Linked DNA regions of Arabidopsis thaliana. The protein of the gene in region 2 interacts with the protein of the main gene of each other region in a pairwise test. Each region holds a gene or a part of one and is shown on either strand. Other genes may lie near its edges.

What was found.
Region 1: the proteins of UBC17 (region 2) and RGLG3 interact in a two-hybrid assay, tested with the Arabidopsis thaliana proteins (one study listed by BioGRID).
Region 3: the proteins of UBC17 (region 2) and RGLG4 interact in a two-hybrid assay, tested with the Arabidopsis thaliana proteins (one study listed by BioGRID).

What each region holds. Positions count from the first base shown.
Region 1 is NC_003076.8:25,604,025-25,615,017, reverse strand, and holds RGLG3 (Copine (Calcium-dependent phospholipid-binding protein) family), read left to right. Parts: upstream 1-5,711; 5' UTR 5,712-5,991; intron 5,992-6,030; exon of another isoform or gene 6,031-6,091; 5' UTR 6,092-6,101; coding exon 6,102-6,170; intron 6,171-6,249; coding exon 6,250-6,334; intron 6,335-6,420; coding exon 6,421-6,561; intron 6,562-6,646; coding exon 6,647-6,760; intron 6,761-6,839; coding exon 6,840-7,017; intron 7,018-7,094; coding exon 7,095-7,200; intron 7,201-7,277; coding exon 7,278-7,396; intron 7,397-7,511; coding exon 7,512-7,662; intron 7,663-7,764; coding exon 7,765-7,821; intron 7,822-7,928; coding exon 7,929-8,012; 3' UTR 8,013-8,247; downstream 8,248-10,993. Other genes in the region: AT5G63990 (Inositol monophosphatase family protein), read right to left, coding at 1-183, 586-794, 884-957, 1,070-1,145, 1,566-1,631; SAL1 phosphatase-like protein, read right to left, coding at 3,216-3,385, 3,486-3,639, 3,731-4,046, 4,166-4,371, 4,469-4,542, 4,649-4,724, 4,951-5,016; AT5G63960 (DNA polymerase delta subunit 1), read right to left, coding at 8,346-8,433, 8,539-8,626, 8,704-8,771, 8,855-9,015, 9,101-9,190, 9,282-9,356, 9,796-9,867, 10,005-10,177 and 4 more. UniProt on the Arabidopsis thaliana protein: Possesses E3 ubiquitin-protein ligase in vitro.
Region 2 is NC_003075.7:17,197,050-17,206,510, reverse strand, and holds UBC17 (ubiquitin-conjugating enzyme 17), read right to left. Parts: upstream 4,590-9,461; 5' UTR 4,543-4,589; coding exon 4,513-4,542; intron 4,410-4,512; coding exon 4,306-4,409; intron 4,230-4,305; coding exon 4,127-4,229; intron 4,039-4,126; coding exon 3,975-4,038; intron 3,893-3,974; coding exon 3,804-3,892; intron 3,717-3,803; coding exon 3,621-3,716; 3' UTR 3,523-3,620; downstream 1-3,522. Other genes in the region: AT4G36430 (Peroxidase superfamily protein), read left to right, coding at 594-818, 899-1,090, 1,167-1,332, 1,451-1,863; AT4G36420 (Ribosomal protein L12 family protein), read left to right, coding at 2,254-2,793; D2HGDH (FAD-linked oxidases family protein), read right to left, coding at 6,039-6,131, 6,216-6,341, 6,413-6,498, 6,585-6,690, 6,769-6,877, 6,996-7,093, 7,204-7,284, 7,384-7,493 and 7 more; AT4G36390 (Methylthiotransferase), read left to right, coding at 9,457-9,461. UniProt on the Arabidopsis thaliana protein: Accepts the ubiquitin from the E1 complex and catalyzes its covalent attachment to other proteins.
Region 3 is NC_003070.9:29,858,744-29,870,169, forward strand, and holds RGLG4 (Ca(2)-dependent phospholipid-binding protein (Copine) family), read left to right. Parts: upstream 1-1,747; 5' UTR 1,748-2,068; coding exon 2,069-2,263; intron 2,264-2,510; coding exon 2,511-2,595; intron 2,596-2,682; coding exon 2,683-2,823; intron 2,824-2,900; coding exon 2,901-3,014; intron 3,015-3,086; coding exon 3,087-3,184; intron 3,185-3,256; coding exon 3,257-3,336; intron 3,337-3,427; coding exon 3,428-3,533; intron 3,534-3,612; coding exon 3,613-3,740; intron 3,741-3,853; coding exon 3,854-3,971; intron 3,972-4,049; coding exon 4,050-4,106; intron 4,107-4,196; coding exon 4,197-4,280; 3' UTR 4,281-4,573; downstream 4,574-11,426. Other genes in the region: CYP79C1 (cytochrome P450, family 79, subfamily C, polypeptide 1), read left to right, coding at 1-429, 521-794, 1,050-1,420; AT1G79390 (centrosomal protein), read right to left, coding at 4,722-4,901, 5,333-5,533; CHX2 (cation/H+ exchanger 2), read left to right, coding at 6,249-6,407, 6,510-7,493, 7,717-8,648, 8,821-9,097; OCT5 (organic cation/carnitine transporter5), read right to left, coding at 9,294-10,841. UniProt on the Arabidopsis thaliana protein: Possesses E3 ubiquitin-protein ligase in vitro.

The DNA.
Region 1 (10,993 bases), on a different chromosome or scaffold from region 2:
TGGACATAAGTCCCATTGCCAACCGAACCATAGAAAAGGCAACCAACTTTTTCAGGTAAAGACTTGAGTGCATTACCAGCAGTTGATGCCAATGGAAGCTTAGGACAAGCCATTACACCTAGTACTACTTTGCCTTCCACCAACAATGCTAATCCTATTGCATATTGTTCTCCTCTTATAAATCTACAAAATGGAAATTCGCAGGTTATAGTTAAATTTAAGTTCCGATGCTCTATGACGACAGTTCAATAATGCAACAATACTACTGAGATTGATAAGTCTCTGACACAGGCATTGAACAATGAAACGAGATGAAGTTGCAAAACAAATCTATGACGACAGTTCAATAATGCAACAATACTCTGAGATTGATTAGTCTCTGACACAGGCGTTGAACAATGAAACGAGATGAAGTTGCAAAACAAATCTATGACGACAGTTCAATAATGCAACAATACTCTGAGATTGATTAGTCTCTGACACAGGCGTTGAACAATGAAACGAGATGAAGTTGCAAAACAAATCCAAAAGTAACTAACTATAAGTTTGTGCTTAGTGAAATATCAACAACATATGAGAACTCACCCTCTAGTGCCACCAATAGGATCCAAGATCCAGTGGCGACCCTTAGGACCTCCTTCTGATTTACCACGATCTATAGCGTTGAGCACATCATCCGAAGTCAAAGGAGAAGCAATAGCATATGATTCATCACTTGCAAGAGTATCTTTGACAAGCTCTGTAATACGAGCCAAAACGGTCTCAGCAGCAATCTTCCTTAACTCACCAGAATCCTACACATAAATTACAAAGTCATAAACAAAATCCATCTTAGTTCAATCAAGAAAAACCAGCAATGTATTATTTTGTATATGTTTGGCACCTCTTCAGCCACTAAAGACACAGGTTCATTCTGGAGTTCCCTTTCCAGTACAAGGCTAACCACCGCCTGCGAACCTAAAACAACATGACTTTGTTTCATTAATGAGCCAATAAAGATATCGAAATCTAAAGAGTATAACAGAGAAAGATATCATTTTTCTGAGTGATACACAATTTTACTACTAACCATAATCAGCAACAGTAACAGGACTATCATCTGATTTGTTCCAAACGTCAGTTACCAACAGAGATTTCCTCACTTCCTGGAAAAAAAGCAAATCAATTTCACTTGTTATAATCTGACTAAAATACAAAACAAAAACCCAATTCCTATAAACATTGAAACCGAAGAGATAACAAGATCGAAGATTTCAGTCACGTCTAGCTAGATCCCCATTTCATATTTTTTCATAAATAAAAAATCTCAGATTTTCACATCCTAATTCGAAAATACTCATATCAGTTGACAATTTACAGGAAACAAGAAGAAAAAGTCTACACATTTAACTCCACAAAAGAGTTCAAAGAAAACATCTAACTCTCCTCGAACACGTATCGCAAATGTCAACGAGCAATAAGAAGAAGAAAAAAGAGAAGAATTTATGGTTTAAAATGTAAATCGAGAAATCGCAGAGAATCAATCATGTGATGATCCAAAAGACGGAAGAAACGAGTGATCGTACGTTGCTGAGACGAGCAGCGAGAGAAACAGCTTTCTTCGCAGCAGAAAGCATCTCATCGTAAGACATTGAAAAATGGGTAAAGCAAAAGAGTACCACGAAGTTGAAGAAGAAAATCTCTGAAAGAATCGATTTTTATGATATGAATGGAAAAACCTCTCGCGACTCTGAAGCAACTTCTCTTCCCAATTTTTATTTTGATTTAGAAATATACGTAATACTAATAAAATAATAATTAGTTGATTGAATATAGTTTGGTTTTTGGTATTTAAAATGTATTTATTTGCCAATCTCTCTACCGTTGTGGAAAAGTAGGCAAAGTATAGAGTCCCCTACCGTTGCGACAATGATAAGTTTCTCTCACGTTGTCTCATTCCTCTCTTTATTTTGTTTATTATACTCACCAAAATTTTATACTATTTTTTAATTAATAGTTTTATTTTTATTTTATAATTTTGTACATTTTAAAAAGTTTTATTATTATTAGAATACTCTGCAGATTTCAGATGGCATATTGCAAAACTGCTATAATCCAAATGAGGAAAACATAAATACATGTAAACAATCCAAGAATGAATTGGTCCAATAGGAAGATATTTTCTTAGAGAGAGATATTTCATTTTATATGAATTCAGATTTTTATATTTTATTTAGTAATATATATGTAATTTCGGTAAGTTTGCTTTCTTTTTGTAGGTGAAGATAACAATCCTGATTAATTTTATGTTTGGCAAGAAATAGTATATGATTCTCAACTTTCTAATTAAATTATTTTGGGTTCGTTGTATTTGTTTAGTCTTTTCTGATATGCTTTTATTCCAAAGAGGTTATATGCTTCTTCTTCCTTTTTCCCTCTTCTTTTATACTAGCTTACTAAATTAATAATTAGAGGTATGCTAATCTTAATTAAATTATATTGCAAATTGCTTTTATAGATATTGTAAATGACGTGTGTACCTTTTGTGTGGCCAGGTCTTGTCAAATCTTTCGCTGAAAACAGGTTATTGTGTGTTATATCAACAACTTATCATTATTAACACAAAATATCTTTGTAACATGGATTAAAAACAAAGCAGCTAGTATATATTATTCACATGAAAAGATTAAAAAAAATTGTGCGACTAGTAGATTTGTGATCGCCCCTTTATAAAGTTTGACTAGATCACTAGACTACATTTAATTATTTACAAAGTCTCAACGATTCCTTTCATCGTGAATGGGATATTATTGGGAATAAAATCACGAATTTCTAAAAGTTGCACAATAATATATATTTTTTTGTAAGATGGTACACAATAATATTTTAGTTATACTATAACCAAAGAAAAAAAAAAACTATTTACACCATATTAATTATTTCTATATGAAGAGATTTTCTACTTAACGCGCTTACTTTCGTATTAAGATAAAGTATCTACGCACTGTAGACACGTACGTCGGTGCATCATGCATGTAACCCTTAAAAGGCCTTTTTACGGCCCGTTACTGGTCCATATTAAATTCTCTACATAACCCTTTATACTTAGCCCAAAACAGAATTTCATTTTTATTTCTTTTTCGAAAATGGAAGAAATTCTCACTGGTGAAATTCGGTGAAAGAAAATGAAACAACAGTTACAGAGAAACAAAGAACGTACGAGAGAAAAAAACAAATCAGAGAGCTGAAGCTTTCTCTTGCTCAGCTATGGAGTCACGAACTGCTTTCAAAAGCAGAGGCATTAGCTTCTCGTTAGCAACGATAATGCCTGTGTCCAAATCAAGATACTTCCCTTTCGAGAAATCCAGTGGCTTTCCTGCTGCATCTGTCACTATTCCACCCGCCTCTGCACCAAAAAGAAGAATCAACCTTGCATTCCTTATCTATTTACATCCGCATGTCGACACTATAAAATTAGCTTCATAGAGAGTAAGCTTTAATGTTACCTGTAACAACTATAGCACCAGCGACATGGTCCCAAATCTTTTCGCGGTATCCTTTATGAGGAAACCGTAAGTATATAGCTCCATCTCCTCTTGATAAAGCTCCATACTTTGCTTGGCTATCAATACGGACTGGTGGAGCTTTGACACCGAGTTTCTGTATATTACAACATAGAACATGATCAAATGGATGAGGAAAATTAGTTAGCTATTAGCTGGAATCACATGGAAGGAAAGAAGCAATTTACATTGGCAATGGAGCTGGATAAGTCATGTAGAGAGTGAGCTCCTTCGAATGACTCGAAGAACGATGCCTCTTCAGGATTCTCAACACTAGAGACTTGCACTTTTACAGGAGAAGATTTTGAATCTAGGAGCTGCATATATGTCCCTGAACCAATTGTAGCAAAGAAGAGGCATCCAATTTCGTCTGACGAAGATTTGTTCTTGTTGTTTCCTGCTATGGATGCTAACGGCAAGTTTGGACAAGCAAGCACACCTAAAACTACTTTCCCTTCCTCGAGCAATCCTAGTGCTACTGCGTATTGATCTCCCCTCAGAAATCTAAAATCATGAAAATGCTCAGTGTCAGGAACATAACATCTGACTCAACATTCTATCAAATTTACATTTTCTCTGAAATAAGAAGATTTGACTTTAGGCTAGTTAGTTTTAAAACGTACCCTTTAGTGCCATCAATTGGATCCAAGACCCAGTGTCGACCATTTGGACCACCTTCAGATGTTCCACAGTCAATGGCTCTAAGTAGATCATCAGTAGACAAAGTAGAGCCATTAAACGATTCCTCGGTAGCCAAAGTGTCGTTCACGAGTTTTGTGATGCGCTCCAGAGTATCCTGAGAACCATCCTTGCGTAGATCGCCTGAGTCCTATATAGATCATTTTAGACAATGTGAGTCCATAAACACAAACTCAAAGATAAGTAAAGTGTGAGACATCTAACAAGGATTTATTAAGCAGTTTCACCTCTTCAGCCACCAATGAAAAGGGTTCAGAACTGAGCTCTTTTTCTAAGACTAAACTAACAACTGCTTGTGAACCTGAAATTCAACACAAGACAGATCAAATTAAGTGATTTCCTAACAATCTCAGTAACATTCAAAGAGAAGAGCTTTTTCTAATCAGGGACAGGTATAACAAACTAACCATAATCAGCAACGGTCACTGGACTTTTATCAGATTTTGATTGCACATCTGATTGCAACAAAGCCTTTTGAACTTTCTGAAACAAACCCAAAACACAAAGATAAGATTTTGATCAAAGATTTACACGAGCTTCGTATGTAGAGGACCATTACACTATATCACTAGAATCTATTCCCAATTACAGATGCAATGCACAATAAACACAAAATGTTAAACGAAATTTGGAAGATTTACAAAATGGGTTTCTTAAAGAATCAAACTTTAGAATCTATGGGTCATGATTGAATCGAAAAAACCCTAACCTGACAGAGACGAGCAGCGAGTGAAGCAGCTTTCTTAGCAGCATCAAGCTCTTTCTCGTAAGCCATCGATGAAACAACTCTGAGAGTAACAAATGAAGGAGAAGAAGACTTGCGTCCGAATACAGAAACGAGACGGTTCGATGAATTTCTAGGTCTCGAATTCGTTCTTACTGCTACAAATGATTGAAGCGGAGCCTTCGCTGTTCGAAAACAATTTATAGACATCATTCGCTTTTCAAGAAGATAAATATATGTCTTCACATTTTCTGATTGCAGAGACAATTATTATTACTTTTTTGAATTTCCCATTTACACCAGTGTACTTATTTATTCTCTGAACTTAAACCCTAAACTTTATTTTAGATCAAGAAAGGCCATATTTGCTCTGTTGGTTTAGGGGTCCATGTGGCACCAATTGAAAGAACAAGTACAAACGGTGAAAATCATAAAAATAAAAAACTTTAGTGATCTTCGTAGATTGGTTGTTGAGTTTTGGGCTAATCGCACGTGGATGTTGTGGTTGAAACATAAGTGAATTTATAGGTGGTGAAGATACAAAAAGGCTTCTTGATGAATGAAGAAGCCCAATAAAAACGGTTCTGGGTTAATATATTTTGAGGGAATCAAAAGCCCAAATAATTTTCTTCAGACAAGAGCTACAGCTTTGCCACGTTGTCCACATGAATCATGTTGAAATTTGGTCTATGATTTTGGGTTATGGATAAATCATTAATGACGCAGAGACAAGACTAAAAAAGATTTCTAGATTGATGATGGCGTGTGAGAGAGCAAAATACGTTTTGATTATTTGCCGGCGCAAGCAAAGGGTCACGTTCCACTAACTTTCAAGATTCAACAAAACCCACTTTCTATAGTTTTATATGTTCATTTTTTTCTGCTAAAGTATTTTTATATGTTCATATTTCTCTTTTGTGCCATCTTTTTAATAATTTAATCTTCCTACAGAAGATAATCTCCAACAAAAGTTTTTTCTTACAAGAAAGATTCCGAGAAGTCTTTTGTGTTTTCAACAAACTCCAGGTTGATATATACTTGCCACTTGTGTAACTGTATCTTTTATTCTTGATTTTGATTGGTTTCTTCTCCAAAGATTGGATTTCTGAAGGTTCTTGTGCTGCAGGGTTTTTTCAATGAACATGAGCAATAAACGTAATCAGCAACCTTCGTATATTGCTGATCATTTCAGCAGTTTGGATCAGGTCTCATAAACTTACTTAGTTATTTCTTGATTTTAGTCTCTTTCATAGTGATGAATTTCTTGTGAACTTTGCTTTTTAGGTGATAACTTCTCTGAGAGAAGCTGGACTTGAATCTTCAAATCTGATTCTAGGAATTGACTTTACCAAGAGCAATGAGTGGACAGGTAATTATTTGATTTGATAAAAAATGCTACACATGTTTACGAAAAGATTCAATGGTTTTGGTTAATGTTCTGAATTTTCATTGCAGGGAGATATTCATTCAATAGAAAAAGCCTTCATGCCATTGGTAAAAGACAGAATCCATATGAGAAAGCAATATCGATTATTGGTCGTACTTTGTCTCCCTTTGATGAAGATGATCTTATACCTTGTTTCGGTTTTGGCGATGGTTAGTTTCTTATTTCTTGCTTTCAAGATGAATGAATAAGATAAACCAAAGTTCTTAATGGTTTTATGTTTTCTTCTTCCTGCAGTAACAACGCGAGATCAATATGTATTCAGCTTTTATCCCGAGAACAAAAGCTGCGACGGATTGGAAAACGCAGTTAAAAGATATAGAGAGATTGTCCCACATTTGAAGTTGTCCGGTATTTTTGAACTTTCAAAAATGGAGCAGTTTTGTTCTCTCTTATCGTAAAGATTAATCAGTGTATTCTTCCCTCACAGGTCCTACCTCGTTTGCACCGGTTATTGATGCTGCCATCAACATAGTTGAGCAGAACAATATGCAATACCATGTTCTCGTCATTATCGCAGATGGTCAGGTCACAAGAAATCCAGATGTGCCGCTTGGTCGACTTAGTCCACAGGAAGAAGCTACTATGAACTCGATAATGGCAGCGAGGTAAAACTATTCAATAAGCTCATATTCATGATCAGACTTCATATGTATACTAATGATGTTTGATATAAATTTTCCAGCCATTACCCATTGTCGATAGTCTTGGTTGGAGTAGGAGATGGACCATGGGACACAATGAAACAATTCGATGACAATATTCCTCACCGTGAATTCGATAACTTCCAGGTAATATAATAAAACCCTGAATAGCTCTGTTTTGTTCCTGAAACATGAATCATGAAAAACTGTGTTTTGTTCCACAGTTTGTAAACTTCACGAAGATAATGTCAGAGCACAAAGATGCGGCTAAGAAGGAGGCTGCTTTCGCACTCGCAGCTCTCATGGAGATCCCTTTTCAATACAAGGCTACATTAAGTCTCAAGTAAATGCAATAAAAAATTTACCGTTGGAAACTACTTGTATCACTCACTGTTTATGGTCTTATTGCATTAGATTCTTTGCCAACTAAACCAACCTTTGATTGTGCTTATGAACAGTAGAAAACCAGTGCGCAGTTCCCATCAGCACCACAAGCCACTCCCGCCACCACCAGAGGTTATAGAGCGTGACAATGCTGTTAGATCGGTGCCAAATCAGATGACAGAAACTGCAGAGAAAAGTGACAGACTCGCTCCTTCCACAGTGCCGGTAAATACTCTATTATTTCTGCCTTTGTTTCTGTTCTTTTGTCAATGAGTATACTCAGTTTCTCTGATACTGAGATTTACATTCCTTTTGTTTTTCAAAAAGGTATGCCCGATTTGCTTGACGAATCCAAAGGACATGGCTTTTAGCTGCGGTCACACGGTATGTGAAAATTTCAAAGGAACAATTATACTCTTACTTGTTCTATGAACTGTACTGCTTCTAGATCGATTTTGTGACATCTCCGATACTTTTTATTTCAAATAAAGACATGCAAGGAATGCGGAGTTGTTATCACAACATGCCCACTATGCAGACAACCAATAACAACAAGGATAAGGCTGTACACTTGACTCGGAAAAATTCTTAGAGATGAGACAAATTATATGGTTAAGCACTTGAGCTTCATGTTTATACTTCTGTAGAACATTGTACAGTCCAAGCAGAAGAATTGTAAAGCATAAATCTCGAGTTGTAGTTCATATGTAATTCTTAGCCTGCCGAAACAAGGAGATATGCGAGAAGAGTTCTCTTTTTGTATTAATCAACAGCTACGTACAAATAAGCCGAAGAGGTCCTTTTTATAACATTCCAAAGAGACCTACAAGTTCTAAATCAAGCGGAAAGTGTAACAGCAACGATACCAATGGAAAAAAGAGAGAGCTAAAAACAACCTTAAATACTTATTAGAAGCTCCAACGGTCGAGTTGTTGCCTGGCTACAGCCATGTCTTTTTGTGCTTTCATTCTCCGGTAAAATATTGGACAATCTCGACTGTAAAAGACCAATAAGAAATCCAGAAAGGAAATTGGATCAGAACCTATTTACCTGCTGAAAGATTTCTAAAAGAAATTGATATCGATAAAAATATAAGCAAACCTGGTGCACAAGACATCTTGATGAAGAGAGCCTTGACACTCCTGGCACTGTGTCCACAGCCTCCCAAAAACCTCTTCAAGCTCAGCCACTGAATAACACAACGAAAGTATCAAATTTTATAGATATATCAAAGAGTCTATAGGAAAGGGAAAAACGGCAGCATACCTTGAGACACGTTTTTGCAATATAACTCGGCTTCTCTTCCCTTGCAACTTGCGCATAGTGTTCCATTGCTGGTTGAAGTTAAAAGCGAATATTGATAAACAGATCCCATATATGAAAACAGATAATACATAGGCAAGGGACCACAAAGTACCTGATCGGAACTTTGCAGCCAACACAGCTCAGTTGTTTTTTAGCAAACTTCATTATACCGCTGTTTGAAGGAGTAGTGATTGATATTGACCTCGTGTGACTTCCATGGAGAAGCTCCTTGCTAGCATTTTTCAGGACTGGCTCAAAAATCCTAAGAAGTGGCTGAAAACAACATCTCCTTTAACCTACAATCACCAGAATAAAGAGTATAGAATAAACTTATACACAAACGCCATGTTGAACTGACCTTGCTAATCTGATTCTCCAAGTAGTAATTTGGGTCTATAGGGATATTATTCTGTAGCACGTAGATTGGATCTTCTGATCGTTCATAAGCCTATCAGACGTCAAAATGAGATAAGCACGGAAGAAGAGAATGACCTTAACATCTTATGGAAAAGCTAACACAAGCTTGACATGAAAACTACCTTGGCACCTTTAGCAGCTTTTATGATAACATACGGTACTCGATCTCCAACATTTGGCGCTGTAGCAGCATCCCTCTGTCACATATGTAAGCAAACACTGTCATATTCACATGATAGATCATCAGACACCGTAAAACAGATCTAAGTTTCAGAGCAACCTTTGTATGATATTATATATTCACCAAAAAGCCGGAAAAAAAATTCATATATTCAGCAAAATTATGCATGACTTAAGAAAAATCCCTGCACTTGTGCAGCTATAAAAAGACGACCAAAGAACCATATTAAAATATTATACAAGCCAAAAATTAAAATTTAATTGTTTAGCACTCCCATTTTTCAGTTTGAGAGTGTCCATGAGATGCTGGAATTAGAGTAAAGGAACGAAAATTCCCCTAGACACATTTGTACATGTTTCTTCACGAACGGAAACGGTCAAGAGTTATCTTAACATGTAATGAAAATGCTTAATCCTGCAAATGATAGACGAAAATAGATAAAGAGTACCACAAACCTTACGCATGCGTTCAGCAAGTTCACCATGAGCTGATTTAACTTCATAATCATCTCCTGTTTTCGTTAGACCCTATGATTTGAGGAAACACATCAGGAGCATTATCCATTTGATTCTTGTTTTAGTTTTAACAGATGGCTTTAATCATTAAAATACACTTTCAGGCGATACAAACATCACAGGACAATAAATCAAGTAAAACATATTACCTTAGTAATCACCAAAAGTGACAAGTCAATACGGTTCATGAGAAGATCCGAAATGGTTTTCTTGACATTTTCAGCTGCCCCTGGAACATCTCTATCAATAAGTATTTTGTTAAGACTCTCAGTCACGAGGTTCTTAACCAGTAAACAATTATCCCTTCGTACTGTCTCGATTCCTGCCAAAGTCGGTGATATTGAAATTTAGTCAGGAAATGAATAAGAGAGAGGCTGTAAAATCACGAAGATTTACCTTTGGTGTCCATTTTGTCAAACTGTTGAGGATTTGTCCATAGCAAACCAGCATACCTCTTCTTGTTAATGAGAAGATATGGGAAATAGACCTTTTCAAACTCCAATTTGATGGGCTTTATGACATCATACACAATCAAGAAACAGAGAACGATTCAGCCTGTTATATTTTGTTTTCAAGAAATCACGTAATCTTGCACCTCTACCCCAAGGATTAGGGAGAACCGGAGAAGTTTAAGACATGCTCCTAGAAAATCACTTACTTTGATAAAAGTTCCACTAATGTGTTCTGCAGCTTCCCTCCCCAAGGTCATCGCAGCTTCTACATCCGATACTCCAAATTGCACCATGACTGAATCCGTGTCTCCATAAATGACCTAATACATCATAGTCCATCAAATTCGAGAAATCTAAGAGCAAACTTAATGATTCACTCAAGTCTTTTCAATACAACGAATAATTCAATGAACATGTACCTCTGCATTGTATTGATACCCTCCCAGTGTTGTGAATTTGTCTTCAACAAGTTTCTTTGTTTGTTCAATCATCTGACGACCTTCAAAAAGATACAAATCCATCAGAACGAACCTAAAAGGCTACGTGTCTAGAAAAGTTGCAGTTTCACAAAAGAAATACCATAGCTAGTTACACTCGAGGATATTTCTAAGCATGGTAACTGCCCAACAGTGGCTCCCGTAAACCCGTAGACAGAATTTGCACTGATCTGAGAAAAAATAGAAAAC
Region 2 (9,461 bases):
GAAAAATAATTACTATTAGTGATCATGATTGTCGACCGTAAGAGGTGGTTTAGTTACTCTCCATCTTTCTTTGAAGAAGTCAGAAAGTCAGAAATTATATCAAATTAAACATCAATATTGAACACATATATCTGTATGGTTTTATGTTTAGAAAATTCCAATATTTATATATTCCTAGGGAAAAAGAAGCTTATTCTTCAAATTATTGTTATGAGTCGTTAAAATATGGATAAAAATATAAAGTCTAAATATTAAAAACTCAGTTTGCTTTGCTTTTACCTCTCCAAGTCTCCAAAGTCAAATTAATTTTAGTTAATTAAACCAAAAAAGGTTTATTAGTCAAACTTAGCATGCAATGCTGGGTACCAAACCCAAGCATTAGTCTCTTTTAATCTTCTTTTTCTCCAATAAGTTTTTACAATTTTTAATTGTTTGCATTTCCCTTGATTATTTATCTTCATCCCAATTTAGCTAATACCAACTCCGTTTCTTATTCTTCCAAGTCTTTTCCTATAAATACGTTCTTCTTCCCCTCTTATTTCATATCACTCACCACAAAGTCTTCTCATTTCCTCATCTTCTTGTTGAAAGTAATGGCAAGACTCACGAGCTTTCTCCTTCTTCTTTCTCTCATCTGCTTTGTCCCTCTCTGTCTCTGCGACAAGAGCTATGGAGGCAAACTTTTCCCGGGTTATTACGCCCATTCATGCCCACAAGTCAATGAGATCGTGAGATCAGTTGTAGCTAAAGCTGTTGCTAGAGAGACACGTATGGCTGCTTCCTTGTTGAGACTTCATTTCCACGACTGTTTCGTTCAGGTTTAGTTAATTTCTTTTACGTTTCAACATTTTATGTTGTTTTAAGTTTACTTGCTAAACAAGGTAACTGTGAAATGTAGGGTTGTGATGGCTCTTTGCTTCTAGACAGCAGTGGAAGGGTAGCGACTGAGAAAAACTCAAACCCTAACAGCAAATCAGCTCGTGGGTTTGACGTAGTTGACCAAATCAAAGCTGAACTGGAGAAACAATGCCCTGGAACTGTTTCTTGCGCTGATGTTCTTACCCTAGCCGCTAGAGACTCCTCTGTTCTTGTAAGTTTCCTCCACAATCTCTATTTTCTCGAACCAAAACTGAAACATCAGCTAACTCGGTTGGTTTTTGGTTTAGACCGGTGGACCAAGTTGGGTTGTTCCATTGGGAAGAAGAGATTCAAGAAGTGCAAGCTTGAGTCAATCGAACAACAACATCCCTGCACCAAACAACACTTTCCAGACCATTCTATCTAAGTTTAACCGTCAAGGACTTGATATCACTGACCTTGTCGCTCTCTCCGGTAAGCTTTCGTCACTCTATCACAGTTTCTTGCTTCACACACATGGAACACAATTAAAAAAAATCCATTATACATTACTTGCTTCTCAAGCCACCACACTTCTCAAATGTTATCTCAGGTAGTCACACAATCGGATTCTCGAGATGCACGAGTTTCAGACAGAGGTTGTACAACCAGTCCGGAAACGGCAGTCCAGACATGACATTGGAACAATCCTTCGCTGCTAACTTGCGCCAACGGTGTCCAAAATCCGGTGGGGACCAGATTCTCTCGGTGCTAGACATCATCAGCGCCGCGAGCTTCGACAACAGCTACTTCAAGAACTTGATAGAGAACAAGGGGTTGTTGAACTCGGACCAAGTTCTGTTCAGCAGTAACGAGAAATCGAGAGAGCTTGTGAAGAAGTATGCAGAAGATCAAGGAGAGTTTTTTGAGCAATTTGCGGAATCGATGATCAAGATGGGAAATATCTCTCCCTTGACAGGTTCTAGTGGCGAAATCAGGAAGAATTGCAGGAAGATTAACTCTTGATTGAAACAAGAAAACTCTTCTTATATCTTGTGGAACAAATGTGAGACATTTACTTTTACTTTGGAGTGTGTTTTGTTTGTTTTTTTCAATTCTGTCATTTGGAAGTTTTATTTCGTGTTATTTGCGTTGTGTTAAGACATAAGTTTGAAATTTATAAAACTTGTACGAGGAAATATTTTGAAATTATAAACTTTAAACTATTATTGGGCCTAACCGAACCTAATAATTTATGAATTCAGAAAACACTAAATCTTAAAACTGATAGGCCCATAAAGGCCCATTTCACATCCCACTAGTTAGGGTTTATGCTTTCTTCTCACATTTCAGCTTCAGATGCACTGACATGAATTCTCAACGAAGCTAAGATCAATTCGATAGAGAGTGAAAACTATGAGGAATCTGCGAATCATCTCCTCTCACTTCTCACGAGTTTTGAAATCCACCGAGACACGCTCAAGTTCCGTTCAATTATTCACGATCCAATCTCGGAGCTACTCATCTCCGGCGACGCAATCGGAGAACGTGTCCAAAATCGTCAATGAGCTATCGAATCTCACTCTTTTGGAAACAATGGATCTTACTGAGATCCTTAGGCAGAAGCTAAACATCAGTGAATTGCCTGTGATGGCGGCGATGATGCCAGGGATGTCATTACCGGGATCTGGAGCTAGTAAATCCGCCGGCGGAGAAGGGAAAGAGAAGAAGAAGGAAGCAAAGACTGCGTTTGATGTGATGCTTCAAGCGTACGATGCAGTGTCGAAGATAAAGGTGATTAAAGAAGTGAGAACGATTACGGCATTGGGGTTGAAGGAAGCGAAAGATTTGGTGGAGAAAGCTCCAACATTGTTGAAGAAAGGAGTTAGTAAGGAAGAAGCAGAGAAGATCATTGAGAAGTTGAAGGCTGTTGGAGCTAAAGTTGCTATGGAGTGACCATTTTTAGGTACCTCTATACTTTCGATTGCTCCTAAGCAGATGGATTAGCTAGCTTTAGTTTGTTTGATTATGGGAATAAACAAGCTTTGAGATTGTGTGAGCTTGGTGTTGAATTGTTAGTGCTTATTAGGTTTGAGAATTGGAAATGAACATTAATTTGATTCTGGAATTGCATAAAGTTGCTTGCTTTGTTTTTGTAAGGGGAGTAAAGTTCTGAGCTTGACGTTGAGTTTCATGAAGGGCCTTTGAAGTTTCTTGTCGAAATGTACAGAGCAAGAGCAATTAGAATAGCTTTTGTAGTCTATTGGGAAACATGTGAAATTGCTTGGTCTATAAACACTTTTAGTAGGTATTCTAGCATCTGTATGATTCGTGTTTGCTTCATATGCTTAAGCTTTAGGTTTTGACATTGCAGGTGTTATTAAAATGGAGCATGAGCAAGAACAAATGAAGCTTCTGCTGAGTAGTCCTTCCTAGTGTTTATTACAAATGTAAGATGTGATGGAAAGTCATCAGCAGCTCTTTTCTTTAGAGATAGAAACAGATTTTTGTCTTCTATCAAATATACACGAAGGCTTGTTAGAAGCAAAGTTCTCTCTTCTTTGGATCAATCATTCTCTCAGTTCTTGGTTTGTACTAACAGTTGATGATTTCTTTCATATAATAATGAATCATGTTATTTCCAAATTTTCAAGTTTTATGCTCAAGCTTTTCGTATGGTTAAACTGTAGAAAGAAGCTGTTCTTGTTTTAAAGATAGCAACAGATCAAGAACTCGACCTGAGATCTTACAATTCGTTTGTAATCACAATATTATAGGAGATGTTATACTTTATCGTCATGGAAACGCCACCTAGTTTCTTTGGGAGATCTTCCATGTTTGCAGTTTTTCAAGTAATGGTCATTGTCTTTCGGCTTTTGCTGTAAGGAGAGAACAATAAACATCATAAGAAGAAGATTATTCTGTGAAAGCCTTTGAAATATGAGAAGAAGATAAAACACACAAACCTTCACGGATGAGCTGGAGAGCATTGAGAGAATGCTGAGACAGATGGAACTTAGTCTCATCGCCGGTGACCACGAATCATACAAGACATCTGCATAATCAAAAGAACACATAGAAGGGTCTTGTCATTGGACTTTGAAACAGAGTGAGTCATTGTGTTTGTATGTACTTACCTAAACAAATGTGACCGTTGCTGTAAATATGAGGATGAAGTGGAGCTGGATGCTGAAAGATAACCTGTTTTATATGTGGAACCATCGGGTTATGAGATTGATGCGATGATTAAGTATCGTTAAGTATTAACAAAAGGAGTTAGAGGACGAACCTGTGGAGCTTCCATAGGATAATGCTCAGGGAACTCAACTTGAAGTTGGTAAGTTTCATTGGCGTAAAGAGTTCCTGGAACTCCATGCACTTCAATGATCCATCTGTTTACACCAACAATTCAACATTACATCACCGATTATCAATATTCGAAGGAAAGACAATAAAATGATTATGTACCGTTGGAGATTATCAGAGACTCTGTGCTTGAAACCAGAAGGAGGATTGGTTTGCCACTCCATGAACTCTTTCTGCAACCGGTTCGTGGCGATTTTGGTCAGACCCTAACATAGTAAGAACAAGAGAGAGATGATCAAACCAAAGACAACAATGGAATTATAACCAAAAAGGTACTGTTATATTTAGTTAAAGAAACAATTAACCAACCTTGCGAGTTGATTCAGAAGAACTCGTCATTTGTGTTTATTACAGTGAGTGTGAGAGAGAGAGATTGTGTGTGTTTTGTCTCCTTAGCCATATCCAGTGAGCTTTTTATAGTGTCTTATCATCTTTGCAATGTGTCTAAAGCGTTTGGGTCTATGTCCAGTCATCAATCCGACGTCGTTTTTATTGTGTCGGCTCTCTTTAATCCGGGACTTTCCACTTGTGTTGGAGAAGCGAATCTTACACGCTTTTGCTACTCTCGCGATCATGATCAAACCAGTTAGGAATATTATCATAAAACATTCCAATATCTATTTCGGAAAACCAAATTTCTTAAATTAAAAATCTCATACCATTATGAATATCTGAGTTATGTAAATTTTAGGATAACCAAACTGATGCATGCATATTATTGATATTAACCAAAAATAAGAATTGATACATGCATCAGGTAAAAGTTGGCTTGTAACATTATTTTAATTTATTTCCGGTTTATGGATCCATCATTCAACGATGCCTTGGATTTTTAGCGATGATATATTGCTTTCATTGTCTTATTGCCCTTGTCCTTCTGATTATTTTGAATGGATCGATGGTTACAAAAGTTGTAAGCAACTTGATTATATATCAAAACTGACTAGTCATAATTACAATTATGATGCATGATGTTGTTGTATGCATTGGCTTCACCTTAAACCAAAACTTGTACACATTTGTTCCATGGAAACTATGGTCTATGAACTATGGTAATACGGATCTTATATTCCTATCTAGTTAGGTCCAACTTAGGTCTCAGAAGAATATATACTTGGTAGAACTTAGAACAAATATGTTAAAATCTATAGCTTATCTCTTAAATTAGAGAAGTTAGTTAGACTTATACAAATCAATCGGACCAGATATTATTCCGGTTTATCTGACCGATCTGGTTTCTCCTAGTAAGACATTAAAGAAAGGTAATACATGAAGTAAAAACAGAACTATGGGGAAAAATAAAAATAAAGTCTTTTTGTGAACAAAATAAGAAAATCCATTACAACAGAAATTCCAAGAATAGAAAGATATTATGTGAAGATTCTTGAAAATACTATTATTATAGATTATCTTTTCGAGTTTTGGTCTACATACACTGCAAATTTTAACTTTAAATACACGTAAGATCAATAGGTTTAGATTCTTTCTTATCCTTTACTAAAAAGATATTAAAACAAGGTAACAACAACAACAACAACAAAGAAGAAGAAGCGAAGCATATACACTTTTGAGTTTAAAGACTTTTTAATCAGCACTTGTATTTTTGTTCCTTTGCATCAATCATATCGCTCAAACTTGGCTGCTCATGTTCCAAATTCCTGTTTGAAGAATCATCTCATCACCACCCTTGCATTCGCCGAAAAAAGAATGTCAATGATTCCAAAGTAAAAGATGATGATTCTTCACTTTTGACGTTGGAAGAGCATTCATAGATAGAAAGATAGATGCTTTCAATAATTTCGGTGCGTAATCATAAAGCATAATAATCTTTTACCTTAGTTGGAGAAGAGAGAGTGAGGAAGAACTTTGTAAGGGTTGAGAATTCCCTTTGGGTCCAGCAACTTTTTAATGGAAGCCATTAATGCAACCTGCATAATATTATATTCCGGTAAGAATAGAGTGACACGATAGTTCTATACATAGTTTCCATACGTTGTTTGTTGTTAACTTACAGTTTCGGGTGATTTGCTGTAGAAGATTTCATTAGCTTTCATTACACCTAATCCATGTTCCGCACTGATGCTTCCACGGTGCTTTGATGTCCACTCATAGACATAAGGCTCTATCAAACCTAAAAGCTGCAAGAAAAGAGTGAATGAATGATCACTTGAACATCTTGGAATGTTTCATATGGATATCAGAATTTTACCTTATCGTTATATTCCGCGGCTGAGATGTTTAAATGTAGATTTCCGTCTCCAAGGTGACCATATCCCATAACATTTGCTAAGTCACCTGAAGCATTGCATATTTGGTTGCAGTTTTCATTGAATCTTTCGGTTTCAAGTAATTAGGAGACAATGTATTGATATATATCTTACCTAATCTCCCTCGAAGATCGTTAACAATATTGTAAATTTCTTCAACCGGTAAGGATAAGTCATACTTGTAAACAGCTCCTGCTTTCTGTAACGCCTCTGTTATACCCTGCAGGGTTATGATTATGACTTTATTCGTCGTGTACCATCAAGCTTTTTCAGAGGAAATAACTCTCAAGTGTTTTACCTCTCGTATGCGCCAAAATGAGGATGCCTGGTTAATGTCTTGAGCGATTACACCATCAGAAACTAAACCTTTTTCCAGTGACTTCAACAGGAAAGCTTCAAGCTTCTCCCTGCATTAGTTTTTGAATCAGACAAAAACTCTCTCAAGGGATCTGAAATACTTAGAATTCATTTAAATGGTACTGGAAAATTGTGAAAGTCACAGAAAGACCAGAAAATTCTCAATACCTGTCATTAGTTTCATCACTCCCTGTTGTCTCGATCAGAATATAAAAGTTCTCCGAAGAGGAAACTGGATTACGTACACCGTCTAGGTGGTTCAGTACCTGTTGAATGAATTAAAAACAGAAAGGGTTTAGCAAAATCAAAGCCTTGTGCACAAGATAAAGTGTCAGGAATGCAAACAGTTCCTATTAGTAACTTCCTAAAAGCTTACCAAATCCATGGAATTGTTATCAAGAAACTCGAAAGCCGAGAGTATCTCTCCAAGATTTCTCTTTGCTTCAACAAGAAGTTTCTGCAAACAAAGGAAACACAATGAGAGATAACAGTTCACGCACTATCTCCTCTGTAGATAGAATTCAATTACAGGAGTACAAAAGAAATTGTATTAAACCTGGCAGCTGAGATAATCTTTGCAAGCAATGAAGGCTAAATTTACAGAAGACAATTTTGGTTGTGTGAGAATAGAAACTTTAGTTACAATACCAAGTGATCCTTCACTACCTGTGGAAACCAGTAAAGAGAAAAAATCAAGATGATTTAGTCTATTTTGCTGATGAAGTGATACTTGAAATCATTGTACAAGCACAAGCCAATATAATACCTACCAATAAACAAATGTTTTAAGTCGTACCCAGTATTGTCTTTGCGTAAAGTTCCAAGCATGTCAAGCACGTTGCCATTTGCTGTGACAGCTTCTAGACCTGAGATGAAGAAAATAAAAATGATGAGAACATGAAATCCAAATGTTTTCAGATGGATCGAAAGTAACTAAAACTGTAAGTCATTACCCAATACAGTTCCATGAAGTGAGCCATAACGGATTAGACGCAAACCACCAGCATTAGTTGAAACATTTCCACCGATATGACAGCTTCCTTTTGCACCTAAGTCTAGAGGCATAATAAAACTGAGGAAGCATAAATTTATGTTGCTACATCTGACAAAACAACCGAGCTAGTTGAGTAATAATGAAACACTCTTCTATTAATTTTCAGTTCATTGTTGCTAAAAGAAGGTACGAAGACATGGTTCTATTACCCTTTTGTGTCAAGGAAAGTTGCCAGATTTTCTAATATGCATCCTGCTTCACACACCAAGACGCCACTAACCTGAAGATAGAGCATCGTATCATCATCAAGTATATAATTATATTGCTCAAAGTAACAATGAAGCAGCAGTTGATCTAAATATAAGATTGCCAATTACCTCATCAAAAGATAAGATTTTGTTCATCAGACCAACATTGACGATCACCTGAAAAGATGCCACAAATTAGTCACGTTTATGATTTCATTTCTTTCGGTATATCTCTCACATTCCTGAAAATTTTCTTTGCTCGCTTTTCTACACTACCTATCCAAGATTTTTGACAGTCACCAATCAACATGAGTAGAGAAACAGTATAGAACCTCATCAAAGACAGGCACACTTCCACCAACAAGACCAGTGTTTCCTCCTTGAGGAACAACTGCTAAACGCCTCGAATCACAGTACTCAAGTATCTGAGACACCTGCATTAAAAATAATCTATGTTTAACACAAATAGTCATCGCAATCCAAACAAAGTAATACGGTAGAGACTAGAGAGAAATAAAACACCTCTTGTGTATTCTTGGGCAAGAGCATCAGCTTACTAGATCCTTTGTACTTATGCATCCAATCTGTATTAGCAGTCTCAAGCCTTTCTTTATCTTCAACCACGTTTTTTTCACCTAATATCTCCTTAAAGTAGCTAACATCTTTCGAATCCAACGACGAAAACAAAGGGTTTCTCTGAATTAAAGAAGCTGCTGATGATCCAAAACACTTATACTGCTGAAGAAGCATCCCCACATTTCTACTAATACATGGATGATGAAGCTCTGTCTTATAGTTCCCATCACTTAGCTCAAAAAGCTTGCCTTTTGATTTGTAGTGATTCACAAAGCCTAAACCCATAATTCAACCAATAAGATACACATATCCAAAATAAAAATAATCTTATCCTAAAATGTCAAGTTTCTAAAGAAAAGATCAATATTTTTTTATCTAATTACAAAAGCAAAGTTCAATTTTTTTCATCTCTCATTCTAATTACAAAAGCAAAGTCAATTTTTTTCCATCTCTGATCTCTCAATCTAATTACAAAAGTCAAATTGGAGATCAAACCTGACACAGAACGTGACACTGAGTCCTTGTTTGGTCGGCTACTAATTAGAGATTTGCATCCAAATCTTATGAACTCCCCCGATCTTCTCAATTTCTGCATCATCATTCTTCTACTTCTCCACGTCTTCTTCGTTCTTACCAACAAAATGTTCGTTAAAAGCGATAAAGCAGAAGCTGAGAGCGAATGTCAATATTACCCCTGAGTTTGGATAACTAAACGCTGCGTTTTATTGTGGAGTAGATTTTGTAAAATCCCTAAGCTTGAGAGAGCCTTCCGTTGTTGTGGTGGAGACTTTGGAGCTCCTCAATCTCTCCAATGGC
Region 3 (11,426 bases), on a different chromosome or scaffold from region 2:
AGAGATATTGTGTGCACTCACACACACAATGTGAAGATGAGACTCTTGTTTGGTCGGAGACATTTCAAGGAGACGACGATGGACGGGAGTCTCGGACTTATGGAGAAAGAACATTTTGACGCAATTTTCGCGGCTCTTGATTGTTTCTTTAGCTTTTACGTAGCCGATTACTACCCTTTCTTAAGAGGATGGAACCTCCAGGGAGAGGAGGCTGAGTTAAGAGAAGCCGTTGATGTGATTGCTAGGTACAATAAGATGATTATCGATGAGAAGATAGAGTTGTGGAGGGGGCAGAATAAAGACTACAATCGTGCGGAGACGAAGAATGATGTTCCTATGATCAAGGATTGGCTCGACATTCTCTTCACTCTTAAAGATGAGAATGGGAAGCCGTTGCTTACCCCGCAAGAAATCACACATCTCTCTGTGGTTCGTGATAGAAATATACTCATATAATTACTACCAATTAGTTTGTATATTATATATCTGATAAGTTATGGTTTCTTTTTGGTTTTGGCAGGATCTTGATGTAGTAGGGATTGATAATGCAGTGAATGTAATAGAGTGGACACTTGCGGAAATGTTGAACCAGAGAGAGATTCTAGAAAAAGCGGTGGAAGAGATCGATATGGTTGTCGGAAAAGAAAGACTTGTTCAAGAATCCGACGTACCAAATCTAAACTACGTCAAAGCTTGTTGCAGAGAGACCCTGAGACTTCACCCTACCAATCCTTTCCTTGTCCCTCACATGGCACGTCATGACACAACTCTCGCTGGCTATTTCATCCCAAAAGGTATCTCATTTTTCCCCAAAATTTATGCATTTAGGCGTATTTGACTCCAACTCCTTAAATGTAGAATCAGGAATTCTAACTATATTTATTTTTGCTTGATTTGAGCAATATTTTCATATTAGAATATTTGTTCCTTTGATTTATTATTTTGGACTGAAAAGTGAAAATAAGTAGATTGTGACATACGAATCTTTCAAATTATTATTTTATTTGTTTATTAACTTTAATATATTGATTGTTTGATGTGGATCACAGGCAGTCATATTCTAGTGAGTCGTCCGGGTGTTGGTCGAAACCCTAAGACATGGGATGAGCCACTCATCTACAGGCCTGAGCGCCATATAACCGGCAACGAAGTGGTGTTGACTGAACCAGACTTACGACTTGTTTCATTTGGAACTGGTAGACGCGGCTGCGTTGGAGCTAAGCTTGGAACGTCCATGATTGTTACGTTGTTGGGTAGGCTTCTCCAAGGGTTCGACTGGACCATTCCTCCTGGTACGACGGACAGAGTCGAGCTAGTCGAGTCAAAAGAAAATCTGTTCATGGCTAATCCTTTGATGGCTTGTGTGAAGCCCAGATTAGATCCAAACATGTACCCGAAACTCTGGACCGGTCCAGCTTGATCATACCGGTTAACGGCACCACATTTCAATTGCTATTGTCATGTATGAGTAAAATTTGAATAAAGTTTTTGTCTTGAGGAAAAGTTGAAGAGGAATATAGCCCATAACGTTCATAAAAGGCCCAGCCCAGTATTGTTCTGCCGTTTTAATTTGAGCAAAGTAAGCTTCAAGTAAAGAAACGGGTTGAGTGCAAAAATGGAGAAATTAACTTGCAAGTTGAGATTAGCACATAAGAAGAGTATCTAATTCCATCTTGTTCACAAAGTCATTCTTTTAGCATTAATGATCCTATATTTATATCAAATCTCATAAGATCTTCAGTGTATAATATATAGTTTAATTTTTTTCTAGGTTTTCGTTCGAACTCATGTGGGTTCAGTAAATAAATGTTTAAGTCCCCATCTGGCCGCGTCAAAAATACTTAGATAACAACAATTAGTGGTTGACATAGAAAAGTAATGATTGTTGCCGCGTAGAATGAAATTAATAAAATTATAAAGAACAGTGAAGCAATAAATGTTTCCTTGGCGTCTTGAAGAGTAGTCTTCTTAAATATTCCAGCCCAAAAAAAAAAAGATTCTATCCATTATCAAGAGAAGAAAAAAAATCTGAATTCCAATTCGAAGAAGAAGAAGAAGAAGAAAGGAGATGACTATGGGGAATTTCTTAAAGAGATTTGGAAGTGGAAAAAGCAGAAGCAGTAGAAATATGACTCTGGGAACGACGTCGTCTCAATCTCATGAACCATCACCGTCGGATCCTTCACTCTCCCTTGCCGATAATACCAACGCCACCAAGAAGAAGTACGCTCTCATCCCTGACCGCTTCTCTTCCCTCGACCAGGTTCTCTTCTTTTTTGTATCTCTCAATTTCTTGTGTTGACTTGACTTTTGGTTCACCATGTCTTCTGCTACTTCCATGTTCTTTGAGTTCTTCAAAAGTCTAATAGATGTATATGATTATTTTTTTTCTCCTCCATTCATTCGTTGACATTGGGACATAAAATGATTTTGAGTAAAAAAATTGTCTGGAAACTAATTAGAGATGGAGAGTTGTTACTGAGTGTTAACTAGTGAATGGTGTTTAAAAGGTATCAAAAGCTCTAAGAGAAGCTGGTCTTGAATCATCCAATCTCATTCTCGGAGTTGATTTCACAAAGAGCAACGAGTGGACTGGTACCTTCAGCAAATACAACTTATTGTTAAATTCACATATATATTTTTGCAACTGTAAACAAAAAAGTGGTTAACGTTCTGTTTCAGGGAAAACTTCTTTCGATGGAAAATGTCTGCACGCGCTCGGCGAAACTTCGAATCCATATGAAAAGGCGATTTTTGTAATCGGCCAAACGTTGGCTCCTTTTGATGAAGACAATCTCATCCCTTGTTTCGGCTTTGGCGATTGTAAGTTTTTCTTTCCCAAAAATATCATCTTCAGTTCACTCTCTGTTTCTAAGACTCTGTTTTCTTGCACTATCCAGCAACAACTCATGACGAGGAAGTGTTCGGTTTCCATAGCGACAATTCTCCATGTCATGGCTTCGAAGAGGTCTTAGCATGTTACAAGAGAATTGCACCCAACTTGCGTCTATCAGGTCTTTCTTTGAAAATCTAAATACTACCTTCCATAGCTTTATCACCAAATCACAACCTTCCGTGTTCAAAAGGGCCAACGTCGTATGGACCGCTCATCGATGCTGCTGTCGACATTGTGGAGAAGAACAACGGACAATTCCATGTTCTGGTGATTGTTGCAGATGGACAGGTAAAGTTACAAGCAGTTAAGAGAAACAAAGTATGATACCAAAACTTAAAAGGCTACCTTTTGAATGTTAAGGTAACGAGAGGTACGGATATGGCCGAGGGAGAACTCAGTCAACAAGAGAAAACAACCATCGACGCGATTGTAAATGCAAGGTAAAAAAATGCAGATTCAGTTTTTCATTTTTCGCAACTCGATTTGCGGTATCTAAACAAGCCTTTTTCGAAATTCCTTTATTATCTACAGCTCGTATGCTTTGTCGATTGTTTTAGTCGGTGTTGGAGACGGACCATGGGAAGACATGAGGAAGTTCGATGATAAGATCCCTAAGCGTGAATTCGACAACTTTCAGGTATCTTCCCAGTTTCTGTGCTATTTTCCATCTATATTCTCTGCTTTGAGCATCTTCTTGATCTCTGGTCTATGCATAGTTTGTGAATTTCACAGAGATTATGACGAGAAACTCACCAGAGTCTGCCAAAGAAACTGCTTTTGCTCTAGCTGCTCTAATGGAGATTCCCTTTCAGTATCAAGCAGCCATCGAACTCCGCTTACTCGGGTACTTCCATAAGTTCTCAGCATAACAGAACTACCGTCTTTCTGCTCTATTTTTTTTTTTTTTGTCTAATTGCTTCTGCTGGTCCCTGTCCACTTCTGCACCCGTCTATAAAGGAAGCAGACGGGCTTAGCGAAGACAATAGTTCCGAGGCCACCACCAATTCCGTACACACCTCCAACTAATGCTGAACTACCATCAACTGCATCACCTGCATCACCTGAACAAACCCAGGTCTCATAATTTGTATACTTTACTATTTTTCTGCCTTGTCGAATCAACTCCAATCTCATATGGTTTTCCGTTTAACAGAGTTGCCCGATTTGTCTGACTAACCGAAAAGACGTGGCTTTCAGCTGTGGCCACATGGTAAGTTTCACCGATTGCTTTTAGTTTACTCAAACCCATTCATTAATCAACAACCAGTTTTAACTTACCTTTGCAATTTTCCTTTTGCAGACTTGTGGAGATTGCGGATCCAAAATATCAAATTGCCCGATCTGTCGAGTAAGGATCACGAACCGGCTAAAGCTTTACACATGATCAATGGCCACGAACTTTTTTTCTGACCACGGCTTTACACGTGATCAATGCCAACAAACTTTATCTCTGCACATAACAAATCGCTTGCACATAGCCATCTCCTTTGTAGAATCTACAATTTGGTTTGCCAAGTGTTTCTGACAATGTTCCACAATCAGCGTGTACCATGTAATTCTGTATGTACTGTAAAACATTAACTTTGCAAACAAGAATGAAGAAGCAATGTACAAATTACAAAACATAAGTTTTACATTTTATTCATCATAACAAAAGGTTTGAAGTGATTGACATTGTAGCCGTTTGCATAGCACAAAAGTTGTGTCGCTAGATGCCGGTTTCAAAAACAAAAGATATTACGGCCAGGAAACACGCCATTTTTGTATCGACAAAAGATTCGAGTGAGAGGCATTCACTAACATTGACTCTTAAAATAATTCATCCTTACTGAGTTTTGGTTGTCACCGTGTCATCTGGCTTTGGCATTGGTTGGATTCTTTGATAAGGCTTCCTGGTAAGAGTCTCTCCCCTAAGAGCAGCAACGTATCTGTCGTTTGTATCCTGCTTCTGTTTCAACTCACCAAGATATTCAGCTAGCCTCTCTTGGTTTACTTTACCCATCATCTAACAATACAAAAACAGAAATGTATTGTTCATCATAACACAAAAAGATTGAAGATTAACAATAAGCCTAAGGTTAACATACGGCTGTGATCAATAAACTTCCAATTGAATCGACATTGTGAAGCAGAGCAAGAACTCAGATACATGAAATTCCTTGTTAACACAGAACAATGGATTGGTGTATTAGCAACAAGAAAATGCAAATGCTCAATTCAACATATCGAGGCCTAAACACCTCTAACCTCTAGGTACCCAATCCCATAGGAGCTTTGCAAAGTAGCAGAAAGAATCATCATCAAGCAAAGTTCTACTCATCCTCCAAGAAAAGTTCCACACATCAAGCAAGACAACTATAGGAACTATGTACGAACAAATTGTAACCATCAAGTTCAACACCGATTAGCATCAATAGAAGAAAACCAACTACATACGAGAGTATCTGGGCGAGCAGATTTACGGAGGCGGGCTTCGAGCTCAGGGTTACTGGAATTGGTGACCTGCATAACTCCATAGCCAATAACGCCAGGAATGACACCACATAAAGCAGCGAACGTGAAGAAGAAGGATCTCGAATCTCGCGTCTTCATCACTAGCCATCTCCATGTATTGCTCTTCTCATACATGAACGACATCTCTCTCTCTCTCTCCGTTCTTCTCACCTGGGGTTTTTAGGGTTCATGATTTGACTTACAGGTTCGCACTTTAGCGTTAATTGCAAAGAACTCCTATTTGATTATTTATTTACTTTTTGGACCCCATATTATTCTCATGTTTCGTTTGTATCCTGAACAGTATGTGTATTATAGTTCAGCCCCTATAGTTTGTTTTTTATTATGCCATGAACACTCTAGTTTTCTTTTGGTTAAACAACACCCTGTAAGGCTAAGAGGTAATTTGCAAATTGTCATTTTTACTAGCATCTGTATTATGTTTTACTTGTTTACAAAACACAAAAATTAACTTCCCATATATATACAAAAGATAAGAAATATGTTATGGACTTATGGTGTTAAATCTGTTGATTATTGACCATATAATAACCTAATTATAGTAAACTTTTTGGGTAAAATTTCTGATTACAGTCAACTTAATCCGTTTTCCAAGGGTTGAAATAGAGGCGTAGAGTAATTGAAGGACGTTCAAATAATTGTAAACACATCTATCAACTCCAACCAAATGTAAACTAATTTTTTTTTTTTTAATTTCTAAATTACTTGTGAAAATTATAAATTCTTGTTTTAGAAAGCATTTTCAGTTTTTTTTTTAACATAAGGTTTAATTTTCATAAGCGTATCATCACCATCACGCTTGAAGAATGCTCATGATCATCGAATCAAGAAGAAGAAGATGGATCCAAAGTTGTTGCTTTGCTTACCTCAAGGAGATGAACTGTTTAATCCCCTTAATACCATGTTTATTCAAATGGCTTGCATTCTCGTCTTCTCTCAATTGTTTTATCTCCTTCTTAAACCCTGCGGCCAAGCTGGTCCCGTTGCCCAGATTCTTGTAAGGAAATTTCTTTCTTGCGTTACAAGAATCACCCGGTTTTTTGTAGTGGAAAATGTCTAACAAGTTTTTGTTTTGTTATCCATATTGGATATTTTTTAGGCTGGGATTGTGTTGAGTCCTGTTTTGCTCTCAAGAATACCTAAAGTTAAGGAATTCTTCCTCCAGAAAAATGCAGCAGATTATTACTCCTTCTTCTCCTTCGCTTTACGGACATCTTTCATGTTCTTGATCGGTCTTGAAGTGGATCTACATTTCATGAGAAGAAATTTCAAGAAAGCTGCGGTGATAACCTTGAGCTCATTCGTGGTTTCCGGCCTCCTCAGTTTCGCTTCCTTAATGTTATTCATCCCTTTGTTTGGGATCAAAGAAGATTACTTTACGTTTTTCTTGGTTCTTCTCGTTACCTTGTCTAACACGGCATCTCCTGTCGTAGTCCGTTCAATCGCTGATTGGAAACTCAACACATGTGAGATCGGACGGCTGACAATCTCATGTGCGTTGTTCATCGAATTAACAAACGTGGTTCTCTACACTATAATCATGGCGTTCATCTCTGGAACTATCATACTTGAACTCTTCTTGTTTCTTTTGGCAACCGTAGCCCTAATATTGATCAACATGGTCTTAGCTCCATGGCTTCCAAAGAGGAACCCTAAAGAGAAGTACCTCTCAAAGGCTGAAACTTTAGTTTTCTTCATCTTCCTTCTCATCATCGGTATAACTATCGAATCCTACGATGTAAATTCCTCGGTTTCTGTTTTCGCCATTGGCATAATGTTTCCACGACAAGGAAAGACTCACAGAACGTTGATACAACGGCTTAGTTACCCGATTCACGAGTTTGTTCTTCCGGTTTACTTTGGTTACATTGGATTCAGATTCAGCATCATCGCGTTAACCAAACGCTTTTACCTCGGTATAGTTATTATCGTGATTGTAACCATAGCTGGGAAATTTATTGGTGTAATAAGCGCTTGTATGTACCTGAAGATCCCTAAGAAATATTGGCTTTTCTTACCCACCATTCTCTCTGTTAAAGGCCATGTCGGTCTTCTTCTTCTAGACTCCAACTATTCCGAAAAGGTACGTTTACTTATATGATTCCGCTACTTTTATACCATTCACATTAAGTCTTGTTCAATTGTAGAGTGTCTGTTATTGCACACCCACAACAAAACAACAAAAAATGTTACACATGTTTTAGGGTCTGGTATATTTTGGTCAAGAACAGACGAACAATTAACATATATAATAACAAAAACTTATGGTTCTTTTTTTCCCATTCTTTGTCTGAATCTACCTGTAGAAATGGTGGACCACAACTATTCATGATATGATGGTGGCTGCTTTGGTGATAACGACGCTAGTAAGTGGTGTTCTGGCATCTTTCTTGCTTAAAACAAGAGAGAAGGACTTTGCTTACGAGAAGACTTCGCTTGAGTCTCATAACACGAACGAGGAATTACGCATTTTATCGTGCGCCTATGGAGTCCGTCATGCTCGCGGTGCGATCTCTCTTGTCTCGGCCTTGAGCGGTTCTCGTGGAGCCTCTGATCCGTTTACACCTCTGCTTATGCACCTTGTACCCCTCCCCAAGAAACGAAAATCGGAACTGATGTATCATGAGCACGACGAAGATGGAGGCAATGCGAATGGAGATGACGAATTCGGGACCAACGAAGGTTTAGAGATCAACGATTCGATTGATTCGTTTGCTAAAGACAGCAAAATCTTGATCCAACAAGTGAAGCTCGTGACTCAGATGCTTAATATGCACGAAGAGATCTGTAACGCAACAGAGGATCTTCGAGTTTCCATTGTATTTCTTCCGTTTCATAAACACCAGAGAATCGATGGGAAGACTACAAACGATGGGGAACTGTTCAGACAGATGAACCGTAATGTTCTAAGGCACGGTCCGTGTTCCATTGGCATTTTTGTGGACCGTAACATAACCGGATTTCAGCAGCCGCACGGGTTTGATTCTGTACAACACGTCGCGACATTGTTCTTTGGTGGTCCGGATGATCGTGAGGCTCTTGCTCTGTGCAGATGGCTCGCGAATAATACTCTGATTCATCTCACAGTTATACAGTTTGTCTCCGAGGAATCAAAGGCAGAGACTCCTGTTGGAAATGCTATGACACGAGATAATAATGAGGTTTTCATGGAAGTTCTGGGAAGGAATCAAACTGAACAAGAAACAGATCGGAGCTTCTTAGAAGAATTCTATAACAGGTACCTTACTTATACCCTGTTTTTATCACTGCTCTGTTTTGTGTATACTCTGTTTCTGAGAAGAGCTCTGTTTCCCGCCGCTACTCTGTTTCTTTGTTTCTTATCTAAGCTAGGGAAAGTTCAGTTTCCATCAAAGAAACTACTTTTGACATTATTTTCCACTGTGCAACAGATTTGTAACAACGGGACAAGTGGGGTTCATAGAGAAGCTAGTGAGCAATGGACCGCATACGCTGACTATTCTAAGAGAGATTGGAGAGATGTATTCACTGTTTGTGGTCGGAAAGAGCACAGGAGATTGCCCTATGACGGTGAGAATGAAAGATTGGGAAGAGTGTCCGGAGCTTGGAACTGTCGGTGATTTCTTGGCTTCGTCTTTAGATGTAAATGCTTCTGTATTAGTAGTTCAAAGACAGAGACATTCACATGATAGCTTTATAGATGATTAGCAAACGTTTCCTAGTTTATGCAGATTTTTGTAATCAAGAAAATGAAATGGTTCAGTTTATAAAAAATACATGCCATTGTAGGTTTCGCATATTAATTACTCGGAAAATCAACATATGGCTTGATTAACCGGAGCTAAACAGAGGTTTTATACGAAAGTTCAATAAAAGAACAGAGGTTTTTCAAAAAACTCTGCTTTCAGCAACTATGGCTAGTCTTCAAGGCTTGGTCTCTTTGCTCTTGCTCTTCCATTGTATCACAAAGACTTAACCCTTTGGTCTCAGGAAGAAGCAAAGCGAATAACCCGAGACCCGACATTGCAAATCCGAAAACTGCAAAAGAGAGTGACGGCACATTTCTTCCAAGCGAAGCAATGAGTGGGCAACAAGCTCCTCCAACCACAAGCGCTTGTCTAAGCATCATTGTTGCACTATTCCTCACGCATGTAGGAAATAACTCAACCAAATAAATCGCCATTAAATTGAATCCAATCCTAGCGCAGAAGAAAGAACCGAGTTCGAGAGCAAAAGCGATTTTTGTTCTTCCGTAAAGGCTCATTACGAAACAGAGCACTCCTGATGCTCCTCCAATTAAGCAATTTACAAGCACAGAGCTTCTCCTGCTGAATTGCTCGAGCAAGATCGGTGTAACAACAAATGTTGGTAACTCCACCATGGCGTTTAGGGCTTCGCTCATATAAATGTTCACTTTTATGTCTCTAACCGCTAATGGAACTCCATAATACGACATTCCCAACCCAAACATTATGATCATAACAAGTGTGACTCTTCGAAAAGCCCATTTTATAATGAACAAGTCTTTGATTGAGTAGCTTGAAGTTTGCTCTAGTGTTTCTTTTGGACGTAACCTCGAAGATACGGATTCCAAGTAACCTCTATTTGCAGGTGAAATCCGTTTGAGCACTTCAATGGCTTCTTTGTTCTTCCCTTCCAAATGGAGCCAACGCGGTGACTCTAGGGCAAAGAAATAGATGAAAATACTGTGGATTCCTGCAGGAATGGATGTGCATAGATAGAGAACTTTCCAAGAAGCGTGTCGGACAAGGTAAGCGATTCCAGACAACGACATGAACCCTAACACAAACAGAGTAAACGGAACCATAGTAGCTCGCGGTCTCCATTTGGTGGAAATTCGCTCACTTATCAGAACTAACGCGTATGTCCCGGTCTGAGAACGCGCGAATCCGATCACAAACTTTAAGAAGGAGTAGATCCATATGTTGGAGGATAAGAAAATAGAGATTCCAGTGAGTGACATTGCGAAACTCGAGAAAAAAAGAAGTTGCTTCCGTCCCAAGGAACCGTCAGGGATCATAGCCAAAACGACTCCACCAACGATAGAACCCACATAAAAAGTTGAACTAGGTAGACTTCTGAGGAAGGAGCTGGAGCACTCGAGATCGAACTCTGAAATGACTGATTTACCTTTGAAACCACCGTCCCAATCCCAAGCTGACCGGGGAATCTTACAGATATCGGTAGTTGCCGGATTGCAGATCGTGTGGTCAAGACAGTGCCACGTGGGATATGCATCTGTGAAGACGGTGATGAATATCTGCTGAGAGTCAAAGGTTAGCGCGAGCCCAACGAGAACTATCTGTAAGAACTGCGAGAATCCGAAATCAGACAAGCTTTTCTCGAGGATCTTGTCGAAAGTCAGAGGTGAAGAAGTGTCTTCATCTTCTTCAATGTGGGTGGGCAACAATGGTGCCAACGAATCCGCCATGGTTGCTTACTTTGATCGATCTTGTTGAGAATGTGAGAATTATTACATCAAAATTAAAAACAAACAACTAGTACTTTTGAAAATATATAATGTGTGGTCAAGAGATCTGATCTTTGATGATCAATGAGAAATTGTTTTTTTCTTGTTTGTTTTTGTCTTTTTGAACAAACTGTTTAAGATTTGTATCTGTGCGGGCCTTTTTGTGTTAAACTATGACCAATAATAATTGAAGCACAATATAAATACATAGTTGCTGATGTAAGTACATGCGACATATCAACATGGACACTTCTGCTTATAAATTCATACTGGGCCGTTAAGTAAAGCCCATTTTAATTGGTTACTCAAATTGAGAAGTCTACCGCTCACGTGTGGCCCACGATAAGTACGTTATGCTTCCACATGTTGCAGAGAATTGTGAAACTTGACCACTCAACTCTTAACATCTCGCCGATAATTTTTTGTTTTTGTTTTTTTTGTTTTTGTCATAATTCGCCAAGAAATTATGTTATATATAATATAACGAATAAAGAAAGGGGACTATCAAATTGAATAGTAAAATAAATTATTATAAGCTTGGCTTAT